Macaca mulatta: one gene and its partner. The protein of the gene in region 1 purifies or fractionates together with the protein of each later gene. This does not show direct contact. Links are inferred from orthologs where the notes say so. Each region holds a gene or a part of one and is shown in the gene's direction. Other genes may lie near its edges.

The links. The genes of interacting proteins can lie anywhere in the genome.
Region 2: the proteins of BOD1L1 (region 1) and SETD1A purify together in Homo sapiens (affinity purification with mass spectrometry; 3 studies listed by BioGRID and IntAct, with this or other methods). This does not show direct contact. The link is inferred for Macaca mulatta from reciprocal best matches to the Homo sapiens genes BOD1L1 and SETD1A.

Annotation. Positions count from the first base shown.
Region 1 is NC_133410.1:12,673,044-12,676,693, reverse strand, and holds part of BOD1L1 (biorientation of chromosomes in cell division protein 1-like 1), read left to right. Parts: coding exon 1-3,650. UniProt on the Homo sapiens protein: Component of the fork protection machinery required to protect stalled/damaged replication forks from uncontrolled DNA2-dependent resection.
Region 2 is NC_133425.1:29,601,430-29,605,079, forward strand, and holds part of SETD1A (histone-lysine N-methyltransferase SETD1A), read left to right. Parts: intron 1-183; coding exon 184-271; intron 272-2,258; coding exon 2,259-2,416; intron 2,417-2,559; coding exon 2,560-2,647; intron 2,648-3,650. UniProt on the Homo sapiens protein: Histone methyltransferase that catalyzes methyl group transfer from S-adenosyl-L-methionine to the epsilon-amino group of 'Lys-4' of histone H3 (H3K4) via a non-processive mechanism.

The DNA of each region.
Region 1 (3,650 bases):
CTTCTTCTTCAGCACATAGTACACAGAAGGATTCTAGTCATAGAACCAAGTTACCATTAGCAAAGGAGAAATATAAGAGTGATAAAGACTCCACTTCCACTAGGCTTGAGAGAAAGTTGTCAGATGGCCACAAAAGCAGGAGCTTGAAACATAGTAGTAAAGACATAAAAAAGAAGGAAGAAAATAAGGCAGATGACAAGGATGGTAAAGAAAGTGACAGTAATCATGAAAAGGCCAGAGGTAATAGTTCACTCATGGAAAAGAAATTAAGTAGAAGATTGTGTGAAAATCGGAGAGGAAGCTTGTCACAAGAAATGACTAAAGGAGAAGAAAAGCTAGCAGCAAACACTTTGAGCGCTCCCAGCGGTTCTTCCCTTCAGAGACCAAAAAAGAGTGGTGATACGACATTGATCCCTGAACAAGAGCCAATGGAAATTGATTTTGAGCCAGGTGTTGAAAATGTGTTTGAAGTATCTAAAACCCAAGACAGCCGCAATAATAATTCTCAGCAAGACATTGACTCTGAAAATATGAAACCAAAAACTTCTGCCACAGTTCTAAAGGACGAATTGAGAACTTGCACAGCAGATTCAAAAACAACAGCTCCAGCTTATAAGCCAGGCCGTGGAACAGGAGTTAATAGTAATTCTGAAAAGCATACCGACCATAGAAGCACCCTGACCAAGAAAATGCATATCCAAAGTGCTGTGTCCAAACTCAACCCTGGGGAGAAAGAACCCATTCATAGAGGAACTAATGAAGTGAATATAGATTCTGAAACTGTTCATAGAATGTTACTGAGTGCCCCATCAGAAAATGATAGGGTACAGAAGAATTTGAAAAACACAGCTGCTGAAGAACATGTTGCTCAAGGAGATGCTGCTCTTGAACATTCCACAAATTTAGACTCCTCTCCATCCTTAAGTTTAGTGACTGTTGTGCCTCTGAGGGAATCTTATGATCCAGATGTAGTTCCTGTGTTTGACAAAAGAACCGTTTTAGAAGGTGGCACAGCCAGCAGCTCCCCTGTAGATCACTCTGCTCTCTCTAATCAAAGTCTGACTGTTAGGGAATCAGAAGTCCTTAAGACAAGTGACAGCAAAGAAGGTGGTGAAGGTTTCACAGTAGATACACCAGCAAAAGCAAGCATCGCTAGCAAAAGACACATTCCGGAAGGTCACCAGGCTACTTTATTGGATGGTAAACAAGGAAAGGTAATCATGCCTCTTGCAAGCAAGTTAACGGGCATGATTGTGGAAAATGAGAATGTTACCAAAGAAGGTGGTTTAGTGGACATGGCCAAGAAAGAAAGTGACTTAAATGCAGAGCCCAATTTAAAGCAGACAGTTAAAGCAACAGTAGAGAATGGCAAGAAGGATGGCCTTGCTGTTGATCATATTGTAGGCATGAGTACAGAAAAATATGCTGAACCTGTCAAACTTAAGCATAAAAGAGGCCCAGGTAAAGTGAAAGACATATCAATTGATGTTGAAAGAAGGAATGAAAACAGTGAGGTAGACACCAGTGCTGGAAGTGGCTCTGCACCCTCTGTTTTGCACCAAAGGAATGGACAAACTGAGGATGTGGCAACTGGGCCTGGGAGAGCAGAAAAGACTTCTGTTGCCACTAGTACTGAAGGGAAGGACAAAGATGTCACCTTAAGTCCAGTGAAGGCTGGGCCTGCCACAACTACTTCTTCAGAAACAAGAGAGAGTGAGGTGGCTTTACCCTGCACCAGCATTGAGGCAGATGAAGGCCTCATTATAGGAACACATTCCAGAAATAATCCTCTTCATGTTGGTGCAGAAGCCAGTGAATGCACTGTTTTTGCTGCAGCTGAAGAAGGCGGGGCTGTTGTCACAGAAGGATTTGCTGAAAGTGAAACCTTCCTCACAAGCACTAAGGAAGGGGAAAGTGGGGAATGTGCTGTGGCTGAATCTGAGGACAGAGCAGCAGACCTGCTGGCTGTACATGCAGTTAAAATCGAAGCCAATGTAAATAGCGTTGTGACAGAGGAAAAGGATGATGCTGTAACCAGTGCAGGCTCTGAAGAGAAATGTGATGGTTCTTCAAGTAGAGACTCAGAAATAGTTGAAGGAACTATTACTTTTATTAGTGAAGTTGAAAGTGATGGAGCAGTTACAAGTGCTGGGACAGAAATAAGAGCAGGATCTATAAGCAGTGAAGAGGTGGATGGCTCCCAGGGAAATATGAGAATGGGTCCCAAAAAAGAAACAGAGGGCACTGTGACATGTACAGGAGCAGAAGGCAGAAGTGATAACTTTGTGATCTGCTCAGTAACCAGAGCAGGGCCCCGGGAGGAACGCATGGTTACAGGTGCAGGTGTTGCCCTGGGAGATAATGATGCACCACCAGGAACAAGTGCCAGTCAAGAAGGAGATGGTTCTGTGAATGATGGTACAGAAGGTGAGAGTGCAGTCACCAGCACGGGAATAACAGAAGATGGAGAGGGGCCAGCAAGTTGCACAGGTTCAGAAGATAGCAGTGAAGGTTTTGCTATAAGTTCTGAATCGGAAGAAAATGGAGAGAGTGCGATGGACAGCACAGTAGCCAAAGAAGGCACTAATGTACCATTAGTTGCTGCTGGTCCTTGTGATGATGAAGGCATTGTGACTAGCACAGGCGCAAAAGAGGAAGACGAGGAAGGGGAGGGTGTTGTGACTAGTACTGGAAGAGGAAATGAAATTGGGCATGCTTCAACTTGTACAGGGTTAGGAGAAGAAAGTGAAGGGGTATTGATTTGTGAAAGTGCAGAAGGGGACAGTCAGATTGGTACTGTGCTAGAGCATGTGGAAGCTGAGGCTGGAGCTGCCATCATGAATGCAAATGAAAATAATGTTGACAGCATGAGTGGCACAGAGAAAGAAAGTAAAGACACAGATATCTGCTCCAGTGCAAAAGGGATTGTAGAAAGCAGTGTGACCAGTGCAGTCTCAGGAAAGGATGAAGTGACACCAGTTCCAGGAGGTTGTGAGGGTCCTATGACTAGTGCTGCATCTGATCAAAGTGACAGTCAGCTCGAAAAAGTTGAAGATACCACTATTTCCACTGGCCTTGTGGGGGGTAGTTACGATATTCTTATATCTGGTGAAGTCCCAGAATGTGAAGTTGCCCACACATCACCAAGTGAAAAAGAAGATGAGGACATCATCACCTCTGTAGAAAATGAAGAGTGTGATGGCCTCATGGCAACTACAGCCAGTGATGATATTACCAACCAGAATAGCTTAGCTGGGGGTAAAGATCAACGCAAAGGCTTGATGATTTCCACCAGTACCACAAATGATTACACCCCTCAGGTAAGCGCAATTACAGATGTGGAAGGAGGTCACTCAAATGCTCTGAGAACTGAAGAAAACATGGAAGGTACCAGAGTAAACACAGAAGAATTTGAAGCCCCCATGCCCAGTGCAGTCTCAGGAGATAACAGCCAACTCACTGTCAGTAGAAATGAAGAGAAAGATGAGTGTGCCATGATTTCCACAAGCATAGGGGAAGAATTTGAAGTGCCTATCTCCAGTGCAACAACCATCAAGTGTGCTGAAAGTCTCCAGCCAGTTGCTGCAGCAGTGGAAGAAAGGGCTACAGGTCCAGTCTTGATAAGCACCGCTGACTTTGAGGGGCCTATG
Region 2 (3,650 bases), on another chromosome or scaffold:
AATTTTTGTATTTTTAGTAGAGGTGGCGTTTCACTATGTTGGCCACGCTGGTCTTGAACTCCTAACCTCAGGTGATCCACCTGCCTTGGCCTCTCAAAAGTGCTGGGATTACAGGAGTGAGCCAGCGTGCTCTGCCTGAGTATTTGAGTTCTAAACGAGCCCCATCTTCTCCCTATTCCCCAGGTAAAGCGGAAAGAGCCATCGGAAATTTCCGAGGCCAGTGAGGAAAAGAGGCCTCGTCCCTCCACTCCTGCTGAGGAAGATGAAGACGGTGAGCAGGGTCAGGCATAAGGAGAAGGGGTGGTCTGTGTGGGTTCTGATGGGAGAGCAAGGGTCGGGGATGAAGGGGTTGGGTCGTTCTGAGGGCAGAGCCAGGTGGAGGTGCAGGGTTGAAATGCAGCAGTTCTGAGAGGTGTGGGATACACCAGGTAGGGTTATTCCTGGATTGTAGTTGCGGGTCTTCCTCTGGTCTGCTAATTTACATTTTCTGTATTTTGGGTTTTTCCACCCATGAAATTCAGTGTCTGGAATCACGGAATTCCAAGTTAAACGAGGCATCTCCCCAAGTTTCCCACCTGATGCTCATGCCCTCCTACCACCTTCCTCCCAGTGTGCTCGAGTTTCAGTCCTTGCTTGATAGCTACCATGGCCTGGAAACTTCCCCACTGAGTCAGATCTGCTTCCCTGGAGACCCACTGGCCCTCGTACTCTTTTCTTGGGCTAGGCATAACAAATCAGCTCCCGCTTCCACCCGACCAGAAAATGATACAAGATCAAATGGGCAGGACATATTTAAAACTGTGTGGGCTGGGCACAGTGGCTCTTGCCTATAATCCCAGCACTTCGGAGGCTGAGGCAGGAGGATCACCTGAAGTCAGGAGTTCAAGACCAGCCTGGCCAACATGGCACAACCCTGTCGCTACTAAAATTACAAAACAGCCAGGCATGGTGGTGTTCACCTGTGATCCCAGCTACTTGGGAGGCTGAGGCATGAGAATCACTTGAACCCAGGAGGTAGAGGTTACAGTGAGCCAAGATCATGCCACGGCACTTCAGCCTGGGTGATAGCATGAGACTGGGTCTTAAAAAAAAAAATATATATATATATGTATTATTATATATGTATTTTTATATGAATACATACGTATATATGTATTTACATATTTGTGTGTATACATGTGTAGATGTGTGTAGATATGTATATATACGTATATATGTGCATATATGTGTGTGTATGTATATGTGTGTATATATATGTGTATATATATGAAGGCCAGGCACGGTGGCGCTCACCTGTAATCTCAGCATTTTGGGAGGCTGAGGTGGGTGAATCACGAGGTCAAGAGATCAAGACCATCCTGGCCAACGTGGTGAAACCCCGTCTCTACTAAAAATACAAAAATTAGCCAGGTGTGGTGGCGGGCACCTATAGTCCCAGCTACTCGGGAGGCTGAGGCAGGAGAATTGCTTGAACCCGGGAGGTAGAGGTTGCAGTGAGCCAAGATTGTGCCACTGCACTCCAGCCAGGCGACAAAGTGAGACTCCATCTCAAGAAAAAGAAAAATACATATATATATACACAGATGTATATATACCTGAAGTCAGGAGTTCAAGACCAGCCTGGCCAACATGGCACAACCCTGTCTCTACTAAAAATACACAACAGCCGTGTGTGTGTATATGTGTGTGTATATATATGTGTGTGTATATATGTGTGTGTGTACGTGTGTGTGTATATATATGTGTGTGTGTGTATGTATATGTATGTGTATATATATAAAGGCCAGGCACGATGGCTCACGCCTGTAATCCCAGCACTTCAGGAGACTGAGGCAGCAGGATTGCTTGAACTCAGGAGTCCAATACCAGCCTGAGCAACATAGGTAGACCCTGTCTCTACAGAAAGTTTTAAAAATTAGCTGGGTGTGATAGCATGGCCCTTTATAGTCCCAGTTACTCAGGAGGCTGAGGCAGGAGGAGCGCTTGAGCCCAGCAGGTTGAGGCTGCAGTGAGCTGTGATCACACCACTGCACCCCAGCCTGAGTGACAGAGCAAGACCCCGGCTCAAAAACAAAAACCAAACTATGAAACATGAGGTAACTGTGAGGTGTTTGCGTTTCTCTGGTGAGCTTCCAGATTCTCATCTGTAAAATGAAGACCATCAGGAAGATTGGTAATAGTGTATGTAAAGCCGTTATGCAGGGCAAGTATCTTGTGGTTGATGGTAAATTTCCCCAACTACCACTCTGCTGGCCTAGACCCTGAGCGAGAGAAGGAGGCTGGAGAGCCTGGACGTCCGGGGACCAAGCCCCCGAAGCGGGACGAAGAACGAGGCAAGACCCAGGGCAAGCACCGCAAATCCTTTGCTCTGGATAGTGAAGGGGAGGAGGCGTCCCAGGAGTCCTCCTCGGAGAAGGTGAGGGCCTGGGCGCTGGCTCCCAGCTGAAGCCTGCTTCCCCATAGCCAGCATTTCTGTGGTTGGAGCCCAGGCAGCTGTGCCTGGTGGAGGACCAGTTGTCCCTTTCCTGTTGTTAGTCCCCATTTGTCCTTTTTCTTAAGGATGAGGAGGATGACGAGGAAGATGAGGAAGATGAAGATCGAGAGGAAGCTGTGGATACCACAAAGAAGGAGACAGGGGTGTCGGATGGTGAGCACAGACAGCGGAATTGACTTTGGGCTCGGAGGAGGGGTTCGGCTGCCTGGCTAGCCCTTTTCTGAGCCCACATGACCTTCCTTGGGCTTGTGGGTCACCTTTGCCCTCTGCGAGGGCATCTGTTTGGGCCACATTCTTAGGAACCCTTGGCCCCTTGACAGCAATAAGCTCAATGCTCAAAATGCTCCCTCCTCCTGCTCCCTCTTCTGCTGAGACATAGCTGTCCACAAGGACAGCCTGGAAGAATCTTTTTTTTTTTTTTTTTTTTTTAATGAGAGTCTCACTCTTGTTGCCCAGGCTGGAGTGCAACGGCGCAGTCTTGGCTCACTGTAACCTCCGCCTCCTGAGTTCAAGTGTTTCTCCTGCCTCAGCCCCCCTAGTAGCTGGGATTACAGTCACCTGCCACCACACCCAGCTAGTTTTTTGTATTTTTAGTAGAGACAGGGTTTCACTATGTTGGCCAGGCTGGTCTTGAATTGCTGACCTCAGGCGATCCACCCACCTCAGCCTCCCAGAGTGCTGGGATTACAGGCGTGAGCCACTACACCTGGATTTTTTTTTTTTTTGAGATGGAGTCTCGCTTTGTTGCTCAGGCTGGAGTGCAGTGATGCGATCTTGGCTCACTGCAACCTCCATCTCCCTGGTTCCAGCGATTTTCCTGACTCAGCCTCCCAAAGTGCTGGGATTACAGGCGTGAGCCACCACACCTGGCTGATTTTTGTATTTTTAGTAGAGATGGGGTTTTATCATGTTGGCCAGGCTGGTCTCGAACTCCTGACCTCAAGTGATCCACCCACTTCAGCCTCCCAAAGTGCTGGGCTTTCAGGTGTGAGCCACTGCACCCAGCCTCTTGCAGCAGTCTTGACTGATTTCCCTGTCTCTGTTTCTGTCCTTCTCCCTCTATTCCAGTTGATTTTCCAAACTGCTTATAGAATCTCTTTCCTAAAAGGCACCCCTGACCCTGTGACTTCCTTCCATAAGGTCCTTCCTGACAACC